Alligator mississippiensis: one gene and its partner. The protein of the gene in region 2 interacts with the protein of the main gene of each other region in a pairwise test. Links are inferred from orthologs where the notes say so. Each region holds a gene or a part of one and is shown on either strand. Other genes may lie near its edges.

What was found.
Region 1: the proteins of TNPO2 (region 2) and CAMK2D interact in binary tests that used the Homo sapiens proteins (3 or more experiments, as listed by UniProt). The two-hybrid records come from large-scale screens. The link is inferred for Alligator mississippiensis from reciprocal best matches to the Homo sapiens genes TNPO2 and CAMK2D.

What each region holds. Positions count from the first base shown.
Region 1 is NC_081825.1:124,904,841-124,919,726, reverse strand, and holds the start of CAMK2D (calcium/calmodulin-dependent protein kinase type II subunit delta), read right to left. Parts: upstream 5,910-14,886; 5' UTR 5,372-5,909; coding exon 5,307-5,371; intron 4,479-5,306; coding exon 4,384-4,478; intron 1-4,383. UniProt on the Homo sapiens protein: Calcium/calmodulin-dependent protein kinase involved in the regulation of Ca(2+) homeostatis and excitation-contraction coupling (ECC) in heart by targeting ion channels, transporters and accessory proteins involved in Ca(2+) influx into the myocyte, Ca(2+) release from the sarcoplasmic reticulum (SR), SR Ca(2+) uptake and Na(+) and K(+) channel transport.
Region 2 is NC_081831.1:22,830,134-22,845,250, reverse strand, and holds the start of TNPO2 (transportin-2), read right to left. Parts: upstream 7,963-15,117; 5' UTR 7,824-7,962; intron 6,476-7,823; 5' UTR 6,458-6,475; coding exon 6,359-6,457; intron 6,152-6,358; coding exon 6,076-6,151; intron 5,444-6,075; coding exon 5,294-5,443; intron 5,193-5,293; coding exon 5,086-5,192; intron 4,726-5,085; coding exon 4,592-4,725; intron 4,145-4,591; coding exon 4,063-4,144; intron 3,626-4,062; coding exon 3,503-3,625; intron 2,923-3,502; coding exon 2,804-2,922; intron 2,104-2,803; coding exon 2,043-2,103; intron 1,525-2,042; coding exon 1,356-1,524; intron 1,028-1,355; coding exon 875-1,027; intron 242-874; coding exon 16-241; intron 1-15. Other genes in the region: RING finger protein 11, read left to right, coding at 8,244-8,351, 8,939-9,108, 9,394-9,562; TRIR (telomerase RNA component interacting RNase), read right to left, coding at 12,351-12,458, 13,085-13,162, 13,381-13,455, 13,904-14,197; ATPase GET3, read left to right, coding at 14,775-14,977. UniProt on the Homo sapiens protein: Probably functions in nuclear protein import as nuclear transport receptor. Serves as receptor for nuclear localization signals (NLS) in cargo substrates.

The DNA of each region.
Region 1 (14,886 bases), on a different chromosome or scaffold from region 2:
GTAGTCAAAGTCTCTATGGTTTATTAAATATAATGGAAAGACTCTCATGGGCTTTGGTGTTCTTTGGTTTAGGGCTAATGGACAGAGAACCAGAAATCCCCAAGTGATACCTGCACCTTTCTTAATATAACTGTTTCGCACAGACAGCAGATGTCTATTCATGTTTCTGCTGCAACAATAAAAATGGTGGAGTGGTGTGAGGGGCTGCTAACTGACGGTCAAAATGAAAAAAGACCACCAGGAACTGGACTCTACCACCAACCTCTTTTCACAGAGGCAGCCAATAACTAGTATTTTTGGCAATTGCCGCCCTAATGCAAATTTACATTTAGTGAAAAGCTGAATGCTACAAAAAATCTGTGAGCAAACTGATTTTTTTTTCAGTGCAATTACAGAGATTGTCAGAAATCTTAACAAAATGTCTCATATTATTTACTTATTGTCCATGAACCACAGACACTGTAGTTGAAGACTAAGGACCCAATCCCTCAACACAATCTACAAAAGCAGGAAGATCTGTCTGAATAAAGTTAATTGTAGGAACAAGGCCAAAAAACCAAAAAGATTTGTAAATAAAAAGTATTTAAGAAAATGAGGTGTCTAATTTTCTTAAATTTTTTTTTATTGGTTTGGCCTAGTCAAGGAACACATTTCGAAGAAGCACAATTTATTCATCCTGCTATATAGCCACAAAGAGAACAGCTCTAAACAAACACTCAGATCACACTTTAATAAAAATAACTGGACATATAAGAACCCTCTGTATAAGATGAAGCAACATAAAAGACAAATGCAGCAAAAATATGCTCTTCTTTTCTTTTTTTTTTCCCCATAATGCTTGCTCACTATCCCACTTCCCTTTGAAGGCAAGTCATACATGCTTTTGTCCATCTGTGGTATATTCATGTAGGCAAGCTTAGTTAGAATGCACTCTTCTGGTAATGAAAGCCTACTATTCTTTTTCCAACAACCCAAATTAAATTTACTCTTCCCTGAAAAGACTACAATTTCCAAATGAAGCTTGTAATATGAATTCTGAAACATAAATATTAAGTAACATATAGCTAACAAATGTTATTGCTAAAGTGAATTGTAATGATTACTATTATTTGTTATTCATATTATGCTTGTATTAGTATTTCAAATTAACAAAATAGCAGAAAATCCCAGAACTCATAAAAGACAGCATGTCTTTCTTTTTTTTTTAATAATACAGCAAACCATGTAAATTCACATCTCTTTTTCATAGTATTACCTTATTTCAACAATAGTAGTTTTTTCTATTGAAGTTTAGATAGCAGTGTGATAAATAGGCATATTTCAGGTATAAGAAATAATTTGTCATCAATCTGAAAATCAAACTGTTCTGAGAAGCAGGGATGACGGTTAACATATATTGTTATAAATTGTTATAACATGTTACATTATTATACAAAAATGGCCATGAATAAAAAGTGGTAGAAACAGAAAGTGTTGGGGAAAATGGGTAAACAAGCCACCAAAAAGACATGCACCACTGTATGTACAGGAGTCTTTTAAAAAACTTTTGTGTAAAAAAAGTTCTATTTTTTATGAAAACTAGAGAGAGAACACATTTACCAACAACTTGCTGTAACCAGATTAGTACCTTGCACTGGGCGAATGTGACTGCTCGGATAAGTTCAAAGAAAATACATGTGGGGGGCAAGCGCTGTTATGACTGAACAATACTAATAGAAACCCACGACAGAATGAAAGCGTCTTAAATTACTGTTAATAAATAACTCTTTTTAACAAAGAAGGTACATTTCCCCATATTATTTGCTGAAATCCCTTTAAAAAATGGTTCAGAAGAAGGCCTGCTACATACAATGTGAATTTAGCTAAACTACATCAATGAGAGCCAGTCACTAGAGGGTATATTTCCCTCACAGCAGAGGGTCTTGTGTGTACTCTCTACAGACAGACGAAGCTCATTTTATGAAGTGTCCTTTAGATTTACAAAGACAAGAGCAGACTACATGACTTCAAGCACCAGATAAATCTATTAATTATAGTAAGAACAGATGAAAAGAAATTGCTCCATCTCACAATGAAAAATATTATAAAAAATAACAGATAAATAATGTTACAATTTTAAGTAGTATCTAAACTGTAATCTATAAATTATTATCATATCGGTCATGATAAAATATATTGCAGTTTGATGCTCTTCAGTGTATAGCTTCTGTGTCATAGGAGACAACTTTGTAGATAGACACACCATAACAATGTTTTTAAATATACTAGAAATTACAAATGCTTAAAGTCCTTATTAAACTCTGCCTTAAAGTAATACCCTTATTGATTACCCTGGAATTATCTACCTGACAAAACAGACTGAGTGCATGTAACCTTACAGATATGTGCAAATGGACATATCTGTGTATATCGGCATGTGCGTGTGTGTACACACCAAAATATAAGGGAATTATTATATACACAGCTAATGTCACGATATGAAGCACAGAATTGAAAAAGAATTGGCAAGCAAAACATCCTGGTGGCAATTTTCGGTACAAAGCTCTGCAGGCAGTGCTAGAAAGACAGTACTCCCCATGATACTCATTTACACCCATTGATAACACATCACGTATGCACAAGTGTCCCTACAGAAAATGAGGTGCTCACAATCATTATCCAGCTCTAGAGTTTAATTCCACCAAAAACAAGGGAATTAGGTTCTGAATTCCTAGAAAAAGCAAGAGTCCAAAATCTGTGTGCAATTTTGTTGCGTTACATATATGGGCTAAACTCATCATGGTATAATTCCACTCAATCTAAAAGTTACACCAGGAATAAACATGGTCTCATACACAAAACTGTACAGAAAGTATAAAATAGAAGCATTTACTTCAGACTGCCTTGACTGGAGTTTAAGGCAGTCTTGGCAACCTTAATACAGTTTCTTCAATATATTTTTAAAGAAACTATAAATGCGATATATGTAAGCCTTAATTCATTAACAAACTGATCCTGACCTTATTAGCTCTCAATCAAGAGTCATAAAAAACTTAAAATATTTTGTAACTATCAGTATTTTGCTTATTGTACTTTTAAATTTCCAAATAAACAACTTATGGGGGGGTGGAATCAAAATCAAAATCTGTTTTAAGAAAAACAGTGAAAAACACATCTCAAATCATGTTATTAATATTCTTAACCATTTAAAGCAAACCATAACAATGACCGGGGATTGGCTCAAAATATGGTTTTAAAAAGCTAAGGAAAAAAATAATTCTCTCACATAATAACCTGTACACCTTTCTCTCACATTATGAACTTGAGGTTAAATATTCAGTATAAAGGGAAAAGTAAACTTTTACAGTCCTCTACTGAACTAAAAACTAGATTATAGAATGGAAAACTTGAAAGACCCTCTCCAGTTAGAACAGCAATAAAAGTTAACAAGTATGTCATTGTAAGTAAAACTTTGTATATTTTTTAAGTTAATGAATGTTATCAGGTTGCTGTCCATCTGCAGCATTTCCTTCATATAAAGAGTAAACCTGGCCATATTACACACTGACAATGTTAGTTCATTCATCTCCGTGTTCATCATAAAGGCATAAATTCACATGAAAGTGCAGATAATGTTGACAGAGAATAATCCTTAATCCCCAACATCCTACTACAAGCACTTTAGTGTGGATTTATCAAGGCACAAACATATCACCAGAAGGCCTACTTTCAGCAGTCTTAACACATGGTAAGCCCATAGTTTCTCCAATATACTATGAACACCTATATACTGACTGCACATACAGCTATAAAATGCATACCCATGCATACATAAGAAAAAATATAAATAAGCGGGTTAAGCATTTGGATTATAGCAGTGATAAAGCACTTCATAAAATTATGACTAATCCACTTCTTCTGTAATACACAATACTGCATGTGTAGTTGATCACATTTTTCTCTGAAGGCGTTCACTGTTAAATATGCCTCGATGAATTAAGTTCATGTTTAAATACAGCGAAAAATGAGATTCAATTAAGCTCTGACCTATTTTTTTTTCTACAAGAGCTACGGCAAGAACTTATTTTATCAAAAACTAAAAAGAGGAGGAAAGCCAGACCGATATTCAAACTTGTCTGTATGCAAAACTGAAAGCAGAAGGGTTTGTTTTTTTTAATTGCCTCAGAATCCATCCATCTTTCCTGCTAGCATGCTAGAGAAGCACTCTCATAAATACAGTCGGTCAGCAGAAGAGAAAAATCTAAGCGGCATGTTAGAGAAATGGAAGACTAAAAAATTAAGACAGAAGGGGAAGGGGTTCACATAATGCTATTTTAAGCAAAAAAACCCAAGGACTGGGGAGAGGGGGGAGACACTGAAAATGCTGGGTTGAAATATACCCACCCCTAGCAGAGAGCTTTTTGGTGTTGATAATTTTGGCAGCATACTCTTGTCCTGTGGTAATTTTCATGCATCTTCTCACCACTGAGAAAGCTCCCCTGCAAATGAATAACCAGACAAGAATCAGTCATCCTGGATAAAGACTCAAATAATTTCAATGCTTTCCCTGCCTGGAATGAAATGCTTGGAAAGAGACAGGAAAATGACCAGGACAAAAAAAATGGCAATCACCACAAATTTGATAGACTGCAACTGGAAAAAATGCTCTTTCAAGCGGGGGAGCCCAAGTCCCATCATTGTCAGTACGCAGTTCAAGTCCTGTTTCAGCGGAGGGGGCTCACACACATAACCATGTATCTTTCCCCTCCTCTTCCCTGACAGGCAGCAACATAGTAATCAGTGGGAAACCACAACCACCAAAAAAGCTCTCTGAACATGGCGATTAGGTCGAAATGGGTATCGGGAGCCGAGCCCACTGGCGTGGCTAGCAAGAAGGTCTTGATGCCCCCCGCCGTGACACTGCCCAGGAGCCTTAGCATCATTGCATTGCCATCTGCCCGCCCAGGCTCCATGTTTCAAGGCCAAATGGGATCCGGGCAAGGGCATGCCTCCATATCATTGGGGGCTCCCCAATGCGAGGCAGGCACTGGGAGCCCAGGGCCCTGTGCATGCTGGGAGGGCTCGTGCCACTCACCTCTCTGGACCTGACAGAGCAGAGGGACAAATAACCCCTTCTCAGCCCGGGGCTGAACTTTCCTTCTCGTGGGGTGCCCCCCAGGCTGCCGTCTGGATGGAGATGGAGCTGACCCCCAGCCAGGTGCCGTGCAGAGACACCTGCATGCCCCCCATTTGACCTGTCAACGCCCTAATTCACTTCCCTCCTGCCCCACGCGCCCCCTTTCCCCCCCAGCCCCAGCTGCTCTTACTTCCCGAGCTCCTCGAAGAGCTGGTACTCGTCGGTGAACCTGGTGCAGGTAGTGGTCGAAGCCATCGCGAGCCCGGGCTGCCGCCGGGGCCTCCGCAGCAGACAGGGAGCGGGAGCGGGAGCAGCAGCGGCGGCAGCAGCAGCAGCGGCGGAAGGAGGCGGGAGGATGAGCGCGGCGACACTGGAGGCTCTGCCTCTCCTCCTCCCTCAGTCCCTCCCGCCGCCTTCCCCCCGCGCTGCCCGCTCCTCTCGTCCTGCCCCCCGGGCTCAGCCCCGCGCGGGGCGGCGGCGACGGGCAGAGCGAGCCCGGCGGGGAGAGGGGAGGCGGCGGGGCGGGGGCGCCGGGTCACAGCCCGTGTAGCTCTGCCCGAGCGAGAGGAAGGGGAGGGTGACGGCGGCAGCAGCACCTCCCACCGCTCTCTCTGTCCCACGACTCCCTCTAGTGACGCCGCCTCGCAGGCGGGGAAGCGGCGGGGCGCGCTCCCCTCATGGGAGCACCTTAGGGCGCGGGGGGAGGTGCTCAGGGCTGTGTCCTGGGGTCCCCGCTGCTTTTGAGGCACGGGATTCAACCGGTGGGAGTCAGGGCAAGGCAACAGGCGCAGGCTAGTGCCTCAGACCGAGCCCCCTCGACAGAGCCTGCTGCCTGCTTCGCGCCCCTTTGGGCAAGGGCTGCATTAGGGCGGGGGGGGGTCTCCTGCTGCAGCGCCCCACCCCCTCCCCCCGCCCCGGTGGCTCCGCCCGCCCTCCGCAGCGTTCCATTCTGTGGCGTCATAATAAACCCACTGTCTGCACGCAGCCTCCGGCCGGCGAAGCAAAGAGGAGAGAAGCCGCCTGCGTCTTGTCTCGCGAGATCTCCTCTCGGCTTGGGTGGGAAGGTGGGGAAGGGGGCGCGTTGCCCAGTGGGAGGCCTAACCACGTCCCGCGTGGGGAGCTGCGATGAGTTGGTGGGCGGATGTCATTTGTGTTGGAGTATTTAGCACAACGTGGGGATGGGAGCCCGGGTGGATTTGCGTGTGGATTTCTATGCAGCGCCTGCCCAGGTGCCTTGAGGCTTTGGCTAAGATCAAGGGAGACCGTGAGCATCAAGGTATCCAGGCCTGGGGCTGGCAGGTCGGATGCCTGCCTGGATTTGGGATGTATCCAAAGCCTCAGAAAGAGGGGTCTGGGAGTGAGGATGCCACACACACTTGGCAACAGAGCTCTACTTAGCCGAAGTTTGGAACTTAGCTATTGGGCTTTGCCCAATCGAATTTGGAACTGGTTTGGCCTTGGAAAAGATAAATATCTCTCTATATATCTATATATATCCCTATATATGTACTGAGTGATCAATCGATTGATAGCTACATATATATAGATAGATATAGACAGTTATATAGATCGATAGATACATATATAGAGATATATCTAGTTATAGATATTTATCTTTTCTAAGGTGATAGCTAAATAGATGTCACCTTGGAAAAGATAAATATCTATATCTGTCTATCTATCTATCTCTTGTGCCTCTGGAAGCAAAGTGCCTTTTCTCATGCCTTGTCTCTTATCCAAAACCTGGGCAAGAGCTTGTGGTTTCCCTAGGTTCACGTGTATGTTTCTCATGCTGGGTATTATTGCTGGGGCTCATAGCACTGCACCTGTTCATAAGATCAGAACATGCAGGGACTTGCAACATTGCCATGCTTCAACCCTTGGGCTGACGTTTTCCATGTGAGGTGTTAGCCTGGGGCTGAGTGTTTAATTAGAATGTTTCACCCAAAATAATTGAGCTTTTTCTGAGAAGGAGGCTGGAGAGAGAGGCATTTTTTTTCCATGTTTGAAAGAAATCTGCTAGGCTTTTTTAAACAGGTCTGGTGCCTCCATACCTTTGAAACAGGGACTAGACATTTGGCAAGGAGCAGCCCAATGCAGCAGGGTGGCATTTTGCTGTCCCTGTGAGAATCAGCCCTTTGAAAAGCTGAGGTTCCCAGATGCTCAGTGAAGCTTCACTTTCAGCAACAGCCCTCTCCAAAGATTCTGGGCTTACTGAGCATCACACTTCCTCACAGCTCCTCTGTGTAACAGGACTGTATGAGTGTGTATATGTGTATCATCTACAAAAGGACATTGTTAAGGTTGCAAAGATTAGAAAATGCCAGCATTCAGGTAATTTATTTTTATGTATGTGTGCAGTGCCTAGGGTCATTAACTCTTGGTTTATATTTAGGATCAATACAAATTAATACAGTATCAGTCTAGTTACTGCTGGTTATTAATAGAGAAACAGCTAGTGAGTTAAATATGGCAGTGAAATACAATGGCCGGCGATACACAGGAGGTCATAGGGTATGATCTAATGGTCCTCAGATGACTCTTTACATTTAGGGTTCTTCATCCAGTTCTTCACTTGGAAGAACTGGATGCTCACTTGGAAGAACTGGATGCCTTTAAGTCGGCAGGCCCGGATGAGCTCCATCCGAGGATGCTGAAGGCACTGGCCAACATAATTGCAGAGCCACTGGCGGGAATATTTGAACACTCATGGCGCACGGGCCAAGTCCCGGAGAACTGGAAAAGGGCCAACGTGGTCCCCATTTTCAAAAAGGGGAGGAAGGAGGACCCTGGCAACTATAGGCCAGTCAGTCTCACCTCCATCCTTGGCAAAGTCTTTGAAAAAATTATCAAGGCTCACATTAACGAGAGCCCAGCAGGACAAATTATGCTGAGGGAAAACCAGCACAGGTTCGTGTCAGGCAGATCGTGCCTGACCAATCTAGTCTCTTTTTATGACCAGGTTATGAAACGCCTGGACACAGGAGGAGGGGTGGATGTCGTCCTTCGATACGGTATCCCACCCCATACTGGTGAACAAGTTAAGAGGCTGTGACTTGTATGACTACACAGTCCGGTGGGTGGCGAATTGGCTGGAGGGTCGCACCCAGAGAGTCGTGGTAGATGGGTCGGTTTCGACCTGGAAGGGTGTGAGCAGTGGGGTCCCGCAGGGCTCGGTCCTTGGACCGATACTCTTTAATGTCTTCATCAGTGACTTGGACGAGGGAGTGAAATGTACTCTGTCCAAGTTTGCAGATGACACAAAGCTATGGGGAGATGTGGACACGCCGGAGGGCAGGGAACAGCTGCAGGCAGACCTGGATAGGTTGGACAAGTGGGCAGAAAACAACAGGATGCAGTTCAACAAGGAGAAATGCGAAGTGCTGCACCAAGGGAGGAAAAATGTCCAGCACACCTACAGCCTAGGGAATGACCTGCTGGGTGGCACAGAGGTGGAAAGGGATCTTGGAGTCCTAGTGGACTCCAAGATGAACATGAGTCGTCAGTGTGACGAAGCCATCAAAAAAGCCAATGGCACTTTATCGTGCATCAGCAGATGCATGACAAATAGGTCCAAGGAGGTGATACTTCCCCTCTATAGGGCGCTGGTCAGACCGCAGTTGGAGTACTGCGTGCAATTCTGGGTGCCACACTTCAAGAAGGATGCAGATAACCTGGAGAGGGTCCAGAGAAGGGCAACTCATATGGTCAAGGGCCTGCAGACCAAGCCCTACGAGGAGAGACTAGAGAAACTGGACCTTTTCAGCCTCCGCAAGAGAAGGTTGAGAGGCGACCTTGTGGCTGCCTATAAGTTCATCATGAGGGCACAGAAGAGAATTGGTGAGGTTTTATTCACCAATGCGCCCCCGGGGGTTACAAGAAATAATGGCCACAAGCTAGCAGATAGCAGATTTAGACTAGACATTAGGAAGAACTTCTTCACAGTTCGAGTGGCCAAGGTCTGGAACGGGCTCCCAAGGGAGGTGGTGCTCTCCCCTACCCTGGGGGTCTTCAAGAGGAGGTTAGATGAGTATCTAGCTGGGGTCATCTAGACCCAGCACTCTTTCCTGCTTATGCAGGGGGTCGGACTCGATGATCTATTGAGGTCCCTTCCGACTCTAACATCTATGAATCTATGAATCATACCCAGATGATGACCTCAGTTTTGCTAATCTCTCAGCTAGGGCAATTCTTTTCTACTGTAGGACATGTCTATGCTGCACATGAGGTAACTTAGTCCATGCAGAGATCCATTCTGCAGTATGTAGACAACTTAGAGCAAGCTCCAATACTTCTACATGGCACTGCTTCCTTACTGGGACTAATGTAAGATTTTTTTTTTGCTTGAAGGCAGGCTTCCCTTTCTTTTTCAAGCTATGTAACATCTTAATTAACAAGGCGACATGCCCCACAACAGAGACAACCATGTCTCATTGCTTCATTTGGGATTCTTGCACATAAAATGTTCCATTTGGAGCCTGGCTGGATTCAGGGGCTTGGAAAAGTAACAAAGGTCTGTGTACACTCTGCACAATGGGGCCCAGTCTTGGTTGATTCCTAGGCGTACATGTAACAACTATCTTTGATAATACCGAGATGATGTTATGTTCTCTTCTTCGATATAATCTCATTCAGTGCTTAAGATAAATGGTGCTTAGGAAATGTATTATGGTTGTACAATAAATGAGGACTGTAACAGGCTTGCCTCATCAGGTCTTCGCCACCTGCCCTGCTCCTGGGGTAACCACTCGCTTCACTTGTCTGCCACACCTTAATGGAAAAATATGAAAGCTGTTACTAAGGCGGGAGGCTACCCATTTCTCACCCTGCTGACAAGGGCCTAATACCTGCTCCGACCTTCCCTCCACAGATCCCATGCCTCGCAGGTGTTACTTCTTCGGCCTATGGCCATAGCAAACTGGACACACAGTTGTAGCTCTTTTCTACAGCCCCGGAGGCCCACTCACATACATACCACTCCTCTCTCACCAGGGTCCCACTCACTCCACTGGCTCTCACCCAGCTTCTTTCATACTGCCCTCTCTCAGGGGCCACACTCATGCTGCCCGGCCTCACCCAGCTTCAGGCATAGCTCTCCTCACCTCGGTCAGCCCCAGCACAGTCTATTGGGTATCTCCTGCTACCCTCACTCCAGTATTGACTGAGCCATTGTATGACTGTAGGCCTATTTCACTCCTAGCCCCTCACCAGACCACTATACTCCCACTGGGCCTCCTCACTCACCCACACTCATGGGCCGCTCTACTCATCGCCCCTCTCACACGGGGCCTGACTCATGCCCCCAGGCTTTCCTCTGCCACCTGGCTGTAGCCTCTGGTCCCTCCTCTAGCCCAAGCTCTGCCTCATGGCTCCTCGACCAAGCCCTGTACTCTCCCTGCTTGCTAGCACCACCAGAGATGGGGGGCTGGGGTTATAAGGTGCCCTGACCTGCCATTCATCAGGGAGGTAACTGGCCTGGCATTTCGTGGGGGCTCCCACACCACTAGGAGCCCCACCAGACCACCCTTCCCCAGCAGGGTGCAGTTTTACATCTTACCCAGGACAAGGGGTTACCTCCTCCCCATACCTCCTGCCTTTACCTCCTGACTGGCTGGAGCAGCCTCTCAGCCTGATGTTTCCTCCTTCCTTCCTGCAGCAATCTGCAGCCCAGTTTATATCCCCAGGCTGAAATGGCTGCCCTCATCAGGCACCTGGCTGCTGCCTGTTTGCTGCTTTCAAAGTGTCAGGCACCAAAGGTCATTGTGCAACTCCTGCTCCATTTAGTGTAGAAAATAGGTGCTCCAGGATTAAGGCAAAGAACGCTCTGGTGGGTAAGGCAGTCAACTGAGATTAAGAACCAGATTGTGTCTCTGACTGTGCTACAGATTTGTAAACTGTTGGGCCTGTCACTTCAATAAAAATGATTACAAATGGTCTCTCTCCATGTTCTGAATGTCCAACGTCAGAAGTCCTGAGCAGGATCTGCCTAAGGGCTCACAACTCAAACATAAGTCAATGGAAGCAGTGGATGCTTTAGGAAGTTTTTGAAAACAAGTCTTGAGTGTGTAGAATTGGGCATCCAATCACTGAGTTACCCTAAAGACGTAGACAGCTTTGCACATTTTCTAAAGCAGTTTGAAAATCTTTTCCAACCATGGATTTTTATCGCAGTACCTGGATTAGCTTTTGTGACTCCTTTGTTCCTGTGGGTTTATTGCTTGCTTGTTTGCCTCTCCCAGCATTGCCCCCATCTCCTCTCCCTCTCTTTCCTCCTTCCCCCACACCCCCTTTCTGCCTCTTGTACATCATTTTTTGGACCAGACTTAACACTTTCCTAACACAAGGTCCCACAGAGTAGGTGTGAATATGAATACAAAATATTTGAGAGACTCAGATACTGTGTTAATGAGCCTCATGGAAAATGCCACAAAATGTAATGGTGCCACATAATTGGGGTGAATTGTGTAGTACATATCACATAGGAAACATGTTCAGTGATTAAGACAAAAAAAGATTTTGAAGGGCTGCCACTTTCCCTGACCAGTGTCTGTTTTGTGCACTAAATATAGCAGAAAATCTGAGAAAAAAATAGTGGGCGGCCAAGTAGGTAAAGAACAGCTTGTAGACACAAAGTAGGTTTTTCCAGGCAAACTAAATTTTGGCTTACTGATTGATTGAAAAATTCATAACTAATTCTGGAAAACATTTTGAAGTTTTGAATTGGATTAATTTTTGGAATAGACCATTTTCTTTATCTTTATTAAATGTTATTTTCAATGCAATTTTCAATGTTTTTGAAACAGTCACTGAGGATATTTGTTTACCCAAACTGGGCTTTTGCAAAGTACATAATTTCTGTATCCATTTCAGCTTTTGAATTCTGACAACCTTAACAATTTTCTTTAAACTATCATTTTAAATGTAGCATATAGATAGATATGTTTATCCATTCATGTATATTTCTAATCCTGATTCTGTTCCTTTTATTGCTTATGGTACATCATTTCATCTTTCTGTCTAGTTTTTTTTCTGTTAGTGACATTCATGTCCATAATTATTATCTGCAGAGTACTTTAAGCATGTAAAAGTACTCTTTGAATTCTAATTATAACTTCACTGTGAACTGTAATATGCAAACTTTGTCCAAAGTGTGAAGCTAAGTGCTAAAAATTAAACCTAAAGCCACAATTTGGAAAGGAAATTTAGGTTTCATATTCACCCGAAATTGCTACTAACTTCAGTACCCAAGTTACAAAATTAGGGTCTAAAACTTTGTTCGTCTCTGTTATGCAGCTCATCCTGGGAGAGAGAGAAAAGATGGCAACTTTAGTTTAGTAATGCTGTATAACCTACTGTAAAGGGATGTTTACAACTAGAAATGTACGTTTGCCAGATTAATTGAATGCAAAATACAAAACAAGGATGTTTCCCTTGGGGGAAAAAAATTACCAGGTGTAGAAGATTTAAACTAGATATTCATCACTAGCAGTGTGTGTTCAGCAATGTATAATACAGAGGATGCCTCAACTTATACACACAGCAGCAATCACCACAGACAGGAAAGAAACCACAGGCAGATAAGGGAGGAGAAAGTGCAGAAAAGAAAGCAAACGTGACGTAGCAGCATACCTTCTGTTTCCTCCAATTACAAACAAGCACACGTACATTTTGCATAAATTTGAGTAAATACACATTAATGAGACTGTAACATGTCCAGCTCTGGTCTGGTGAAATCACCCCTAGTGGCTGCCTGGGTACTGCCTTGCTCCCCTCCTCTGGCCTCCCAGGGTCTCACCTGGTGTCTTTCGTGCCATGCCTTGGTGTGATAATTGGATAGAGAGGTTTTGCTTCGGGTCTTACGCCCTCTTCTGGGCTGAGGCCCCCTGGTCTTGCCCCACTTTTTACTGCCTGGACCCTGGTCTCAACCCTCAGGCTCTAAAATCCTTGGCCCCAGTCTTGCCTCTCATAGCTCTGGGCCCCCTACCCCACCTTTCTCATCATTTTCCTGTGCTTGTTTCAGTTTCTGTAGAGCTTCAGCCAGATTTATCTGAGCCCTCTCTAGCCCCACTGCTACCTGCATGATGTAGCATTGCGAGGCCACTGCTTTTGCCTCTGTCTGTTCATGGCTGTGGCACCCAGGTTCCACTTGGGACTCCAAATTTCTGTTCTCTCTGCTTTGGCCTTTCTATACCAGCTAGTTAGCTTTTCCAGCTCATTCATCACTCCTTTTACTCCCTGTTTACTCCCAGTATCTAACTGTTCTAGTAGCAGTGCAAGGCTTTCTCTTTTCAGTCTGTGAGCAACTCCATCTCCAGTGCCCAGTCCCCAATTTTAAGACAGCCACCCTTTTTCTCTCTGAGGGGGAATACCTGGCTTTGAGGTTGGGCTGCTTGCAATTCTGCAGGTCATGTTTTCCTTATTGCCCAAGTTTTTATCCCCTGCTCGAGCTGGAACTCACTGTGGTCTCCTGTAGATGGACTTGCCTCTAACTCTAGAACTCCTTTCACTGTCCTTGGTGTTCTCTGCTGCTTTGGGATTTCCACAATTCCCTTTCTGATGACTTCCTCTCTGCTTCTCTCTGCTGTGGCTGGGACTGTCACTGCCCCCTTCCCTTTTGGTGACCTCTTCTGTCATGGCTGCACTCTGTGGCATCTATGTTCCCCTTTGTTGACTTCAGGGGTGCTACTTTGGTAGCTGGACCAACTATGCAAGCAACTTCTACCAAAGGGTCTTGCACTTTCTGTGGCCTGGCCCCCAGGGTGTGGTTCTGCTGTGAGGCTCTTCTTCCCATGTCCATTCTCTGGGCTTTGTCCTCTACCCCCATAGTTCCTATCCTGCTTTTGGGCCTGCTCATTAGCAGTAGCCTACTGCTGCAGCAACAACTGTATCAGCTGTTCCATCTCCATCTGTATCCTAATAAGAATGGCAGCTCACGCTTGGCCCAAGGCTCCTTCATAATTTCATAGATTCATAGATGTTAGGATCAGAAGGGACCTCAATAGATCATCGAGTCCGACCCCCTGCATAAGCAGGAAAGAATGCTGGGTCTAGATGACCCCAGCTAGATGCTCATCTAACCTCCTCTTGAAGACCTCCAGGGTAGGGGAGAGCACCACCTCCCTTGGGAGCCCGTTCCAGACCCTGGCCACTCGAACTATGAAGAAGTTCTTTCTAATGTCCAATCTAAATCTGCTGTCTGCTAGCTTGTGGCCATTATTTCTTGTAACCCCCGGGGGCGCCTTGGTGAATAAATACTCACCAATTCCCTTCTGTGCCCCTGTGATGAACTTATAGGCGGCCACAAGGTCGCCTCTCAACCTTCTCTTGCGGAGGCTGAAAAGGTCCAGTTTCTCTAGTCTCTCCTTGTAGGGCTTGGACTGCAGGCCCTTAACCATACGAGTGGCCCTTCTCTGGACCCTCTCCAGGTTATCCGCATCCCTCTTGAATTGCGGCGCCCAGAATTGGCAAGGTAAACCAAGCCACTCATGAAGCAATGCTTCCGGACCAATGCACCAGTATAGCAAATCCAGTCCTTTCAGTCCCCAGCCCCCTGGGCTGCTCTCCCCATTTCAGTCCCTCAGCCCTCTTGCTGTATCAGCCTCAGCCTATTACCCCAGGATGGGCTGCCTGTTACAGAGTGCCCCACCAGGCACCCCTCCATGGCCTTCACATCTCCCCTGTAGTCACAGTTTGGTCCTCTGGTTCAACTTTAACACCAATGGAAATTATGAGCATCCACTCCTGTGTCCTGTTTCCATTATCATCCTTAT
Region 2 (15,117 bases):
CACTCGCACACACACCTGCATGCTGCCTCCTGCACACGCTTGTTGCTGTCCAGGATACGCTTAAGCAGCTCGGTCATGAGGGGCTTGAGGTAGGTGTCAGGGGGCTGGCTCACAACCCAGTGCGCGTAGCGGCTTAGCGTCCAGCACGCGATGGAGCGCACCAGCGCCTTCTTGTCCGACAGGCACTGGATCAGGTGTGGGATGAGCTCGGGCAGGTAGGGCACCATGCCCTGCATGCAGCCTGGGGTGGGGGGGTAGGCAGGGGCATACGGTTAGAACTCGGACTGAGACCTCCCCACCCCTCCCTTGCAGTTAGAGCCAAGGAACCGCTGCTGCAGCAGGCTCTATCCATAACCCAGGAGTAGCAACAAAGATGCACCAAGTGGCATGGGCAGTCTGTGTGTGTGACACATGGCAGATAGGGGAGGGACCAGTCAGCACAGCAGCAGATAGGGCAAGGAGCAAAAACCAGAGCAGACAAAGAATACAGGCAAGGAGCAGAAAGCAGAGAGGCCCATGGGGGCAGGGAGCACAGGGCAGGGGGCAGAAAGCTGAGCAGTCAGTTGGACAGAGAGCACGGCAGCAAATATAAAGCACAGCAGCTGATGGGGCTCTGAAGCACAAGACAAGAAGCAGAAAGTAGAGAACAGGTGAGGGGCACTGGGCCTGGGAAGCAGGTTTCAGACCCTGCCAGCCCACTATCAACAGGGGGGCATGTGCTCACTGCCTGCCTTTTGCGTCACCTGCTCCAGAACCCTGCTATGCCTCTGCCCCAGGTGGAGAGGAAGGGGCAGGGAGGAAGAGGGCAAGGAGCTTCCTCCTCTCCCCCAGGCCTGCAATTCCTGCTCACCCCCACCCCAAGCCCAGCACTTGCCCTCAGCGATGGCACCCAGCACCAGGATGCCCGACTCCTTGATGACCCACTCGGGGTGGAAAAGCAGTCCTTTGAGCAGAGGCAGCAGATGGGGCAGCAGCTCCTCCCGGAACACATTGGCCAGAACATCCAGGGCAGCTGCAGAGCACTTTCCTGGGGTGGGGAGAAGGGGAGGCAGCAGTTAGCATGGGAACCCTGACATGCCCTGCCCCCCCACCAGCCACAGCTGGACATGGGGCTGAGCTCAGGCCTGGCAGGAGACACCTGTATCTCCCTTCCCCCAAGCCTATGTCCCCATCCCTCACACCTCCTCAGACCCTGCTCCCACCCCACTGGCCCACAGGGCTCTTTGTCCCTGTCCCCACCCCTTGGATTCACCCCCATTCCCCTCAGGTATCTGACCCTGCCCTCCCCAGAACCCTGCCCCCATCCCCTCTCCCACCCCTTTCCATCCCCAGACCCCTGCCACCCCAGCCTGTACGGAGGTTCCAGTCCGAGAGAGTGTCATCATCATCGTCCTCATCGTCGCCGTCCTCGCCGTCCTGGGCCCGCTCCTCCTCGTGCTGCAGTGTTACCGTGCGCGACTTGTGGAAGCGTGGCTTGATGTCCTGCTCGCTGTCTGGGATGGCCTCATCCTCCTCCACATCACCCTGTGCGGTGCCGCACCATCAGTGGGAGGACACCAGGAGCTCTCCCCCTCCTCCCTGCCAGCCCCAACACACGATGGGCTGGAGAAACCGAGGCACAGAGCCCCGAGATCAGGCCCCGGAACCTGTGTACTCCCTCTTGGCCAAAGGGGCAATCAGCCTTGCCCCCTGCCACTGCACCTCCCCCCACCCCTTCTGGGCACTTCTTGGGATTGGGGTTCTGGATCAGACAGTATGAATACAAACTCCATCACAGGATCAGGCTAGGAGCTGCTCATCACTTCCAGGAGGCCCTTCCCTTCCCCAGACTCGCCTACTGCCCTACTTAAGGGAGTCACCAGGCAGGCGTCTCCCACTGGCAAAGTAGAGGTCTGACCAAGGGAGAGGCTGACCCCAGACTGGGGGGGCCTGTGTGTGTATTATGGGGTGTCAGCCCCAGGGCAGTGGAGCACAGCAAGCGGGGGTGGGGGGGTGGGGGGGGGTGGCGGCGCGCAGCAGAGACCCCTGGCTGCCCCACACACCTTAAGCAGGATGATGTCAATCTCTGAATATTTCATGCCATTCACCAGGATGGGGATCAGCCTGCAAGAACAGGAGTCAGCGTGGAGGGAACCACTGTAGGAGGTGGGGGGATGGGAGAGGGAGGAACTGCCTGCCGACCCAAGCATGGGAGAGGGGGGTAGTTTCACATTGCTCAGAGAGAGAGAGAGGCAGGTCCAGCCTTCACACCCTTCCCCTCCTCCAGCAGCATGGGGGCTGCAGCTGGGAGAACACCCACTCTCAGAAGAACTCAAGCATCCAGGCTCCTACCCACCCACCCCCTGTAATGTGACCTACCAGACCCCACTCCCCACACAGAGCCAGGAGGGAACCCACCAAGCTCCCCTGCTCTGATTTCCCAGTCCAACTCCCCTCCCACAGTTGGGGACAGACCTCAGGAATCTTGACTCCCAACCCCACAACCCTTGCTCAATCCTGGCAAACCCCACCATCCTCCTGGAGCCAGGGAAGAGAACCCAGGTGTCTGGGCTCTGAGTCCCCTGCAATCTGATCCACCAGTTCCTACGCCCCTCCAAGAGCTGGGGAGGGACTTCAGAAGGTCCCAATTCCCAGACTCCACTCCCCTCCCCCTAAATCTATCCCAGTAAACCTCACTGCCATCCTGAAGCTGGGGAAGAGAATCCAGACATCTGGGCTACTGGTCAGATCCTCACCCACACCAAGCAGTGCCCAGTAAAGCCCCACCCCAGCCAGCAGGGAGGGGATGGAGGCAGGGACTCACTGTACTAAGTGAGAAGTCAGGGCCTCCTTGCAGATGGGCTGCTCAGCCAGTGTGAGCCAGAACTCACAGGCCTCCAGCGCCACATTCTCATCGCTGTCCTGAGTGCGCTGCAGCATGTACTGGAGAGATGGAACTGTGTCACTGGCGGTGACGCATAGGAGGTGCATGTGCACCCCCTGACCAGCCACGCTCACAGCTTAGGTGACAGGTAGGGGGGGCAGGTGGAAGTGCCGGCGCACCCCCTGCAAGTGCCAGCTGGGGAGTAAGAGCACCACGGCGCTCCCAGAAGCAGCCGTAGCCACTTCTGGAAGTAGCTGCAGCGATCAGCTCCAGTCAGTGTGATTGGCTGCAGGGGACCCCCCAGTCGCTGACTGGTTGCTGGGGGGCAGAGCACATTGCCTCCCCCCCTTCAGACTAAGATAGCACCAGTTGCCCATGCATGTCATCATCCAGCTGCAGGGCCCTAGAGCCTCCCCCCAGGGCTAGGCCCACATCCCTCCATGCCCCGAAGGAACTGCAGTGGTTGGCAGAGCTAGGTCAGAGCTTGGAGGCCTTGGAAAACTGAGGCAAGGAGCCAGTTGTCTGGGACCCCCACCCCCAGCAGGCCTGGCCCCAACCCCCTGCTTGAGGTGGGTCAGCCCCATGGCCTCAAGTACAGATCACACTCCTCCCCCACCACCTCCTCCAGCAAAGGCTCACCTGGATGATGCTGTGCATGTGTGGGATGAGACGGTCGATCCGCACCTCCAGCAGCATCACCAAGGCCCGGCACACGTTCTTCCGAACCTCAGGGTCTTCATCCACCGCCAGAGCAAACAAGTGCTAGGAAGGGGGAGGAGGCAGAGCTGAGACTACCTGGAGTCCACTGTTGTCAAGCCCTGCCCTCCCAGGGATGTCTGCTGGAAGGATTCACCCTGTACCAGGCTGCTGGGAGCAACTGCAGGCCACAGGGATGCCCTGGACACCCCATCCCACTCCAGCAAGATTGAGACCCCAACAGCCAGGGCCACAGAACAGGTATCAGCCCTCACCATCCCATGACCCCTGACAGCCCATAGACAACAGGAGACAACAGGTGCCTCTCGTCTGGGTAACAGTGCTGTTGTATCATCACAACCACAAGCGTGGAACAGGCTCCCCCCAGTCTGAAAACACATGGGGTAGGGAACACAGCACCAGGCAGGCCCTGAAGAGGTAGCGGGGGCAGGGGGAGAAGGCAAACTAGATCTGCCTGAGCTCTTCCCACCCCAGACTCTCACCTCAATGAAGGTGTCAATGTTATCCATCAGCGCCTGAGCCCGGTCCATGATGAACTGGTTCACGCAAGCGATGGCATGGGATCTGGGAGGTGGAGACCAAGGACTATGGCTCAGGCTCTTGTAGCTCCCCCCAACCTGCCCGGCCAGGTCAGGTCAGGGCTTGGGCATCTGCGCCCACCACACAGCCAGAACAAGGCCTCAGTTACCCCATAGGCTGTGCTGAGGTGAGAGGAGCCTTGGGGAAGACGTGGGGAAGGAGCTGACCCCATGGCACCAATCAAAGACCCTCCCCCACCTCACCTGGATGACACCTGAATGGGAAGGATCAGTTATAAATACATGTTAGTGGGTGGGTGGGGTGTTGCTGGACAACTTCCCTTCATTGCACCAAGGCTCTGATGCCAGCCCAGGGAACAGATAACATTGGGGGGTGGAAGGGAAAAAAAAAAAAAAAAAAAAAAAAATCAGCAGGATCCCAGCCCTCTCACCCCACACAAGCCAGCCAGGAGCCTGTGGGCAGCACTCCCACCTGATCTTAGGGCTGCAATGCTTGAAGAACTGCAGGAACTTGGGGATCATGACATTGAGGGGGCGATTGAGGGCGTCGCTGTCCAAGAGCTCCGACGAGTCCTCGCAGATCTTTTGCAAGGCCCCAAAGGCCCCCTGGGTGCCGCACAATGGGGTTAGAACTGGGATAATGGCCACAAAAATCAAGTGGGCCAAGCCCACTGGAGCACTCCACAGCCAGTCTGATAGCCAGATCTGAGACTCCACACTCCCCCAACCCCATCCCCTTCCAGCCCCAACCCACAGTGCCCCAGCCCTTAGCTGGCCAGTGCAGAGACACCTGCCCTGGTAACCCAGCCTTCTCCCTATCCTATCCCATACCCCAATACCACACCCCACAATTGGCAGATGCAGACACCTGCCCTGATGACCCAGCTCCCTCCACCTTCATTTCCAGCCCCCAGTGATCCAGCCTCAGATGTCCCCACAGCTGGGAACACAGACCCACCCCCCCACCTCGCAGGTGTTGTAGTCCTCAGAGTTAAGCAGGTTGCACAACTGAGGCAGCAGCTCTGGCCACATCTGCAGCTCCCCCTTGGAGGCGATGGTGGTGATGAGGATTCCTGCAGGTGGAGGCCAGCTGCAGGTCAGCCCCAGGCTGCCTCCGAGCCCGAGCCCACCCCCACCAAGCCCTGCCAAGGGCCCCCAATTCCCCAGTTCTCACCAATGGTGGCGCGAATGAGGGAGGAAGCATCACCAATGTTGTTGAGACACTCCTGCTTGATAAACTCAGCCACGGGCGGTGGAAAGCTCTGGTAATGAGCTTTGACATTGTTCTTCAGGATGAGCCCACTGAGGGAGCGCGTTGGCTCATCTGTGCCACCGGGGGGAAGAGAACCATGGGGCTTCTGTGACTGTGGCCTCCAGCCCCCACCCTCTGCCAGGCTGGGAACCCAGAGCCTATGGAAAGTAACAAGCCCTGGTGCCTTGAGGCTCCCTGCAGCACCATCATCCCCAAAGCATCACCAGTAACAGCCCCACCCCACCCCACCCCCAGACCTGTGGGGAAACCGTGTCCAAGCCCCAAACATCTCCCTCCCAGGGACCTCAAGGGGTAGCAGAACCTCATAGCAAGGTCAGGTCTGATTAGCTGCCAAGCAGGGTGTCCACACAATGATATTTCTCCCACACCCCATGTGTCCCTGCTCCAGGTGAGCTCCACGCATCTGTAAATCCTGCCAGCCCTCCCAGGTGCTGCCACGCTGAAATGTCCCAGCCAATGCATCCCTGCTTTGGGAGGAGCTCCACGCAGCTGTGCCAGGGTCTCGCTCTATCCTCCATGCCCCCAGCCCAGATACCAGTTAAGGACCAGCTGCCCCCTGGCATCCACCCCACCTGGAAGCCCAGGTTGGATGCTGGGGGCCATGACAAGCCCCGAACCAGTCTGAGACACTGCCCCTTCCCCAGCATTGTGTCCCTCCCCACATGGCCAAGCCTAATATGTACCTTCTGATTTCAGCCTAGTCAGGACGAAGATAAGATAGTTGTTGAAATCTGGGAACTGATTGAGCTGTTTCAGTTTCTGTGGTGCTGGGTTAAGATCCAAAGATCTAGGTCTGGAGAAGGCAGCTGGGGCTCTGCCTCCCTCTGGGCTTGGCCTGGACCACAACACCCACTTTTTCCCCTGCACAGGAATATCCCCTGCCTTAGCTACATAGCTTCCAGCTTACAAGCCCACAGCCCTCCCATGACCTCTGACCCTGGGCATCAAACCCTGGTTTAAGGATACATCCTGGACTATGCGCTGCGTGGCCGTGTTAGGTGACTGTGAGTCCTTGAGCAGCTGCAAGACCTGCTGCAGCCCCTGCTCATCTGGTTGCCAGTCCATGGCAGGGGGTAGCTGCAACTGTGTGGTAAGAAAAGGAGAAGAAAAGAGTGGTTACCACCAGCCAACCTGGCCCATTGCCTCCCCACACCTAGCAATGACCATGGCTGCAAGCCCCTCTAGCCACAGAGCACAGATGGGGCTTAGGGCAGCAGGAGGAAGACTCCACAGCTAGGGCCCCCAGCCTGGGAAAGACCCAGGGTGAGACCAGGCTGAAGCCAACCAGGCCCCACAGCTGGGGTGATATGTGCAGCTGCCCCAAGGAGCCTCATGAACAGGGAAAGCTTTGAACCAAGACAGTAAGAGAAACCAGGGCCAGAGATGGCAGCTGGGGTACAGGATACAGGGAGGAAGAAAAAGGAAACCTATCTGGAGGATAAGCAGGGACTGCATGGGGAGTTTCCCCAGCTCTCCCTTGGCCCCAGCTGCAGGGAAAGAAGGGGGGGTGGCATCCCCCCACACAACAGCCACATGGGAACCTGGACATCCCACTTCCTCCTTGCCACCCCCAACCCCACCCATACCCACCTCAACCCCAGATCCCAACCCACAGCCTCTCTAATCCCCAGGGTAACAAAGCTACCCCTCTCAGTCCCCTACACTCCCAGCTGGCCTGACCTTCTCCCCCAGCTCTCCAAACCCAGGACCAGGCCTCCTCTCATTCCCACTCCACAAATAATCAGACCCTCAAGCCCTTGCTCCACAAACCCAGTCTCCAAGCCACTTCACTCCCCTCTGGACTTCCAAAGCCACCCCCAACCCCAGGTCCCCTAACCCACATGACCCAAGCTGGCTGCACAGCAACCCCTTCACTGCCCCTGAATCAAGCTTTCTCTGCACCAGGGGAACTCCCCCATCCTGGGATCCAGCCCCCCCAGCTCTAGGATAGAGCCCCCTCAGCCCCCCGCATCCTAGGGGAATCCCCCCACTCCCAGGCACCAGATGCAAAGGGATCCATCCCCCACCCTGGAATAGAGCACCCCCAGGGGAACCACCCCAGCTTCCACCCTGCCCAGACCCCTGCTTCCAGCCTCTAGGGGATTCCCCCAGCTCTGGAACAGAGCAGCCCAGAACCTAGGGAGACACCACAGTGCCCAGCTCCAGCAACCCCCAGCCTCTAGGGAACCCCACCCAGCCCTAAGATAGAGCCTCAGCCCCTAGGAAATCCCTGACTCCCAGCCTCTGCCCTCCTCCTAGCTACAACCCCTAGGAACCCCCCCAGCTCCCAAACCTGGCTTCAAGTCCCAGCTCCAGCTCCCCCGCACCTAAGGGACCCCCCCCCCACCCCAGACCCCCATTGCCCCCAGGCCCACGCGGAGCATCCCCAGGGGCGATCCCAGCAGGCCCCCGCGGCCCAGCCGCTCCGTACCTGGCTAGGGGGTGCGAGGGGGGAGGGGGGATTGGTGGTGGCGGCGGCCCGGGCTCGAGGCGGCGGCGGCGCGAGGCAAACGCGACACGCGGGCGCTGACCCCAGCCGGCCGCCGTCCGCCGAGACCACGTGAACAGCAGGGACCGGAGCAGGGGCGGGGCGGGAAGCGCGCGCACGCGCGCGGCGGGAGGAGGCTGTCACGTGGTCAGGGAAAGGGCGGGGCCAGAGCGAACGTCCGCACACATGCGCGGAATCAACGCCTTCCGAAGCTCCGGGACTGTGTTTCCCAGGCTGCTCCGCGGCGCGTGGGCGGTACCATTTCTCGACAGGCACGGGGGGAGGAGGAAAACGGCGTCTCCACCACATTCCCCTCCCCCCCGCGGAGGGCCGGGGGTGGCAGCGTCCAACCCGGCCCCGGGCATGGGGAACTGCCTGTCATCGCAGACGGCCGACGACCTCTCGCTGCTCAACGACTCGGCCGACGGCGCAAGCCTGGGGCCCGGGGCCGCGCCGCCGCCTCCCTACCAGGTGCAGCGGGGAGAGGGGGCGCCCGCAGCGGAACAGCCCGGGGGCGGGGGCGAACGGGAGGAGCAGCCTCGGGCCCATTAGAGGGGGCGTGGCCGACGAAGTGGGCGTGTCTTATAAGGGCGTGGCTGTAGGGATGGCTGAGTTTGGGAGGGGGAAGGTGGGGGGGAGGGGCCATTAGCGATGGGGGCATGGCTTAAAGGGGGGCGGGGCATAAAGGTTTGACTTCGGTGGCTGGGGTCTGAGGAGCTGGCCTAGGTGGGTGGGGCATAGGGTGTAGTTTGTAGGTGGAGTCATGGGCGTGGCCAATGTGGCTGGGTGACAAGGGCATGGTTCCTGAGGGAGGGGGCATAGCCTATGGACAGTCATGGGGTGTGGGACTTGGACAGGGTCATGGAGGCATGGCCTGTAGGAATAGGGGCATAGCCTACAAGGGCAGAGTGGTGCTAACCTGTATGGTGTAGGGGGCATCCCTATCAGGTGGGGGCAGCTGTGGGGGGGCTTCTGGGCCCCCTCTTGCATAAGTTGCAGGGTAGTATCTGGGGATAGGGCTTCATCTATAATATGCATCTTGGTCCCTCCCCATCCAGGAGCAGGCATCAGTGCCCACATACCACTCTGTGCCTGGGCAGTCGTGCCTGGCAACGCAGCTGACCGAGGAGGAGCAGGTCCGCATAGCCCAGCGCATCGGCCTCATCCAGCACCTGCCCACAGGTGTCTTTGACCTGGGCACTGAGCCCACTGACCGGAAAACCAAGGAGTAAGTGTCCTCCAGCTCTGCCCATTCTCCCCACTAGCCCAGCCCTCATCTGGGGGTGGGGAGAGGAGCCCCAAACCCTGCCCTTGTTCTCTTCCTTTGGGCCTTGCTAAGCCCTGTAGCAGGGCAGAAGCCAAGCTGGGGATACAACCCAGGTACCATGTGGGGAGGCAGGGCTGGGGATAAAACCTGGTGGGGGGTGGGAGGCGTCTGCTTTTATTTGCTAGTCTCAGGATGCCTGGGTTTTGTCCCTAGCCTGTGGGTCACACCTTGCCTCCCCCACCACAGGTGTGTGATCTGCATGTTGGACTTCGCCTATGGGGACCCAGTGCGGTTCCTACCCTGTCTACACACCTATCATGTGGGCTGCATTGATGACTGGCTCATGCGCTCGCTTACCTGCCCATCCTGCATGGAGCCCGTGGATGCTGCACTGCTCTCCTCCTATGAGACTTAGCTGGAGGAGGGGAGGAGAGAAACAGAACATTGCTGGCACATATGTGGGGTGATTTTTGCACCTAGAAGACACCAAAGATGCCTGCAATTGCCCTAATTCAACCCCTGCTTTTGGCTCAGGTGCTTCGAAAAGCTAGATGAGGCAGTTCTCTTCCCAGGTGCCTCTGGGAGGAGCAGCCCCAAGCCAAACCTGGGGGAGCTCATGGGGGTGCAGGGAGGGGGGGAGGAGCATATTCCTGCCCCTAGTCTAGTGGAGGGGTGCTGAGCTCCAGGAGCTGGAGTCGAAGATGGGGCTTGCAGCCTGTGGTGGACACTGTTTTCTTCCCTGGGGCTGGTACCTGCCCTGCCTAGATCTGGGAGCAGGCCCTGGTGCACCTGGGAAGCCAACCCTGGCCGTTATCCCCTCCCCAGCCTTGTAGTGCCTCAGCCTTCAGGGCTGGGGGTCCTGGCTCCAGTCCCTCTCCTCTGTCCGGACAGGCAGCCCCTTCTCTGCAGCCATGGGGTCTCTCAGAGGTCATGAGCATTAGCCCCACCCCATGGCGCTACCACTCCACACTGTTCCAGGGGCATCTTTGCCTTAGATATGGAGTCCCATCTCCTCCTCCTTCCCCTACAGCTGCCCCATGAGTTGTCAAGTAATTGGCCTTACCCAGACTGGGATGCTTGGAAGGGGGGGTGACTGCTGGCCTGGCTCTCACCGTGGGGCCACCTGCCCCAATCCCAGCTGGTCCTTGCCAGGGAGTTCAAAGGGAGATGGATGCATGTTATATTTGAGCTGCACAATAAAGATTATTGTCTAGAGCTGCCTGATGGGTTGGGGGGGGGGGGGTCAGGCACTATCCTGGCTTCTGTGCCCCAGAGCATGTACCTTTGTGGGGCAGGACAAAGCCCTCTCTGCATCCCCCCCGCCCCCCCCAAATACCCACCTGCTTCCTTCTTTCAGTGCTTGGGACTCCTGGGCTCAGACATCAGGCTGCCTTCAGAACCACAGCTGGAAACAGCAGCAGCTCCATGCTCCTCTAGCAGCCTCCTTTTCACAACATAGGCCACCCCCCATACAGCTGGCATCTCTTATGTTCCAAGAGAAGATACCAAATGGGAAACAAGGTTGGGGGGCTCAGGGCCTCTAACCCTCCCCACAGCATTCATGGCATCTCCCATGCAGGGACACAAGCCGGCAGCCTGGGACTATAGCCAGCACCTTGCAGCCAGGGAGGGAGCTCTGAGAACAGGGCAATCCAGGACCAGAGCAAGGCAATGACTGGGCACAGAGGGTAAAGTCTAGGGGCTCCTGGCATCTCAATCCTAGATGCTTCCAATCCATGGGGGTCCCTAAGACACTCTCCTGGCTATGGGGCCACCTCCCTGGCTGGCACCCTCTCACCCTAGGTCTTCCCTAGGCAGACCTCATGGCCAGGTCCCCACTCCCTCTGCATCCAGATAGATGGTCTCCTTGCTGCTGCAGCCTGCCCCCAACAATCCCAACCCCATCCTCATCTCAGCAGGGAGTGATCTGCAGCCACTTGGTCCCAGCTCAGCTAGCTTTGCTATAAGTAGTGTCAGGGGGAGTCAGTTCCTCTGTGGAAAGCCACTCACCTCAGGTACAGCAGAGCTCAGACTTAGAACTGCCCGCACCACATGCCAGGGAAGGAGGCACCAAGCCGGGGTCTGTACAACGGGGTTTTATTTTAAAAAGCCGGTGCAGTAAGAACACATGGGTGGCTTGGTGCAGAGGAGAGTACAAGGATATGGGGGCTGCTGAGGTGTACTAGGGCTCCCTTAGGGACAAGGGGCCAGAAAAATTCAGGAGAAAAAAAGAGGAGCTCCAGGGGCCAAGGGTACAGTGGGGGAGGGTGTGTGGGGGGGGAAGCTGTTCTAAGGCTTGAGCACCAAGCAGTAGCTCCCAGCTGCCCCCCCTGCCTTGACTAAATAGGCTGGGATCCCCATACCCCCTTTTTCCTTCCCCCACTACAGGGGGGTGGGGGGGTGAGGAGTGTCTTCACTAGAGAGCAACATCACTGGTGCAGTGTAAGTGGGGCTCCCCCACAAGCATCCAGGGTGAGGGCTTGGAACAGCCAAGGAGCCAGGCCTGCCTGAGTTTCTGGGGGCTGGCCATCCTCTTCCTCCAGGGGGGTGTGAGATGGCAGCAGAAGCAGTTCTCATGTAATAGGTCCCATCCGCACCACTGAGGCTTTCTGTGGCTGGAGCTGTCACTGCCAGGGTCTGTCGGGCTGGCAGGACTGGGCTCCCCCCAAGCAGGGCAGGTGCTGGGTGATTCCAAGGGGTGGAGACCGATGCCTCCAGATGAAGAGGAGACAGATGAGGCAGTTGCAGGAGCCTGGGAGCACCTACCCCTTGACTCCTGGGTGCAGGCAGGGAATGTACAGCACCAGGCACCTCCACAAAGAAGTCAGTAGCTTAGGAAGATCCAAGGTCTTTAATGACTGGGAATGAATGCAGCACCTGCCCCTGCTCCAGCACGGAGGGAACAAGAGGGCAGGGGGAAGCTGGGTCCCAGCAGGATGGGCAGGCTATGCCATGGGCCACTGATGCGATTGTCCGGGGAGCCGCACTGGCAGGGGGGGAGGGGGGAGCGCCGGAGTCCTGGCTCCTGGGAGAGTCATAGAAAACAGGGATCCCCATCATCAGGCAGCTGCAGCTGGGCAGGGAGGCACCGGCGAGGGGCAGCACACGCCTTTCCACCTTAAATAAGTATGTACAACACACAAAAGTCCTGGCGACCAGGGCTGGGGCTAGATCTAGACCAGGCCAGGCCCCACAGCAAGCAGCTACTTCACCAGGGGGCGGGTTTTGTCATCGTCACTACACTGATGAGCCTTGTACTTCTTCACTTCAGCCATGTACTTGGCCCAGGCATCCCCTTTACTCGTCAGGACCTGCAGAAGGAGAAGGGCAGCTCAGATGCCAAGCCCAGAGCCACATTTCACCACAGAAAAAGGGTGGGTGGGTGGGTAGGGGGGAAAAAAGAGGGACTGGGCCCTGGCAGCAGCAGGAAGACCACCCCTCCCCAAGATCCCACCACCACCAGTCCTGCTCCCTTCCCAGAGCTAGGAAGCGGAGGGAAGGACCCCTTCCCCACCAAGCTGGGGATGGAAGCCAGGAGCCCCAGCACCCAATCCATCCATCTCCTGGATTTACTACACACCAGGAAAGCCCCTGGTCCAATGCCTCTCCCCACCCCCCTCAACCATACCCAAATGGGAACCCAGCTTTTAGCAACCTTGGGGCTGCTCCAGGTGTCCCCCACTGCCCTGGAGCCAGCATGGGCATCAAAGCAGGGGCTGAGGGACCCCAGTTCAACCTCAGTGCATTGAGCCAGGGTCTCTGCTCAAGCTTAGCTACCTCACCCCCACCTTAGGCCCTTCCCAGACAATCACACAGGAGAACAGGGTCACACTTACATAGGCATATTGAGGCACCAGAAGCAGGAGTAAGACTTCCCAAAGTAGCCACAGAAACACTGCCCCTGCCATCCCAGCCACCCCCCCCAACCCCCTTTTACCTCCTCCTCCATCTTTTGTTTCTTTGCTACCACTCCCGTCTTCAGGGCCAGCTTGTTGCCCCCTCGCCGCCGGCCAACCTGGGAAAGGATAGAAAGCAGCCAATGTTACGAGTGCCCCTGCTGCTGGCACTACCTGTGCCATGGTATAGAGAAGGCTGGGAGGGTGGGAGTGGAAAGTCAGCCCAGGCCTGAACCAGTGCTGTTCCTAGAGAGATCTCTAGCTTCCCAGCTCAAGCAGATCCCCTCAGGCACTGCTTCTCTCCCCTGGAAGTGCCTCCCCTGGCCGTAGCACTCACCCCCAGGGTGAGGCAGCTGCTGGGCTTTACGACCACAAAGTGGTGGCAGGAGCTGGGCACTTGCTCTGTGGAAAGCTGCCAGACAAAGAGCTATGGGACGCGCGCCTGCCCGTGGCCTGCCCCCCCTCCAACTGCTGGGGCACCAGATGAAGGCAGGCAGGGCTGGTCGAGGCAGCCTGTCAGCAGGAACAGGGAGGGGGAACAGAAGAGCAGAGCAGAACAGTGGCAGGCAGAGACACTGCAAACAGAGCGAGGGAGGTAGGAGGAGAGGCAGGAATAGATGCTGGGAAGAGACAGATGAGAAGGAGGCCGGGGCAAATAAGCAAAAGAAAGATGGGCAAGAAGAAAGGGAAGTCAAAGATGGGGGGAAGGGGCACAGACCAGAAGGCAGCAAGAGAAGGGGAGTCAGAAGCAGGTAGGGAAGGAGCCAGGAGTTCTGGGGACGGGACGGCCCAGGCAGGTGGGGGAAGGGCGGGGCCGCCGCAGTGTCGGGGGCAGGTGGGGGAGGAGAGCGGGGTCTTACGAAGCCGAGCGCGCCGCCGCTCTTTTTCCTCCCGTCCGCCGCCGCCGGGGGCTGTTGCTGCTGGTGCTGTTGTTGCTGTTGCGGCGGCTGCTCAGCGCCGCTCCCGGCCCCGGCCTCAGCCCCGGGCCCCGCGGTGTCGGGCGCGGCCCGTCCGCGTTGCTCGGCCTCCATGCGGCGCTTGAAGAGCTCGAGGAAGCTGCCATCGTTTGCAAAAACATTAACACCACCGCCGCCGCCGCCCTCCCCGCCGGGGCCCCGCGGCACCGCCTCCCCCCGCTCCCCTTGGGCGGCCATTTTGTCACCGGAGCGCCCCGCGCCGCGGGCGGTGACGGGAAAAGCCAGTGCCGGCCGCGAGGCACGCCGGGAAAGCAGGCCAAGCCGCAGGCGCGCGAGGCACGCTGGGAAAGCCGCCGGCGCTTCTTGTTGCTAGGCATCGGGCACCGCAAGGGGCGCCGGGAGGGAAAGAACCAGGAGATGGGTGGGCGCCGGCACCAATTGGAACGCGACTGGCAGCGTGCCGGCCAATCCGCTGCCAGCCAGCTCGCCTCGGCCGCCTCCTCGCTCCCAACAGAATAAGGCGGGGCAGACCGACAGTTCTGAAGATCGCCCAATCTTGCCAGCCGAGGGGTGGGGTTTGATGGGGCCAATTCGCGTAGGCGGGTTTGTGAGGGAGCCAATCTAGTGAGGAGCGGGGCGGGACGGAGTGTACCACCCCTCTCCAGGCCGCGGGGGCAGCATTGAGCCGCTGCCGCGGTATCATAACAGCGGGAAATTCAATGCCGGGCTGTGGCGGGGGTAAAACTGCGGCGCTCCCTCGGCTGCGAGGAACCATGTGGTTTGTTTTTTTTCTCCTATTTCCCCCCCTTGTCGAATGGTCCCAGCGTGGGTCACGTGCAGCCGTTCCAAGATGGCGGCGGCGGGGTCCGGGTCCGGCTGGGGGCCGGAGGCGGACGAGTTCGAGGACGCTCCCGATGTGGAGCCGCTGGAGCCGACGTTGAGCAACATCATCGAGCAGCGGAGTCTCAAGTGGATCTTCGTGGGGGGGAAGGGGGGCGTGGGCAAGACCACCTGCAGGTGAGGCGAAGGGAGGGGCTTTTAATGTGGGATGTACTACTGTGGGTAGAAGGGGGGAGTAGGGGCTCTACCATTGCCGCGTGGGGTGGTTGAGTCCTTCTGGTGTGCAGAGAGGGGTTGGGAGGAACCATTACAACGGG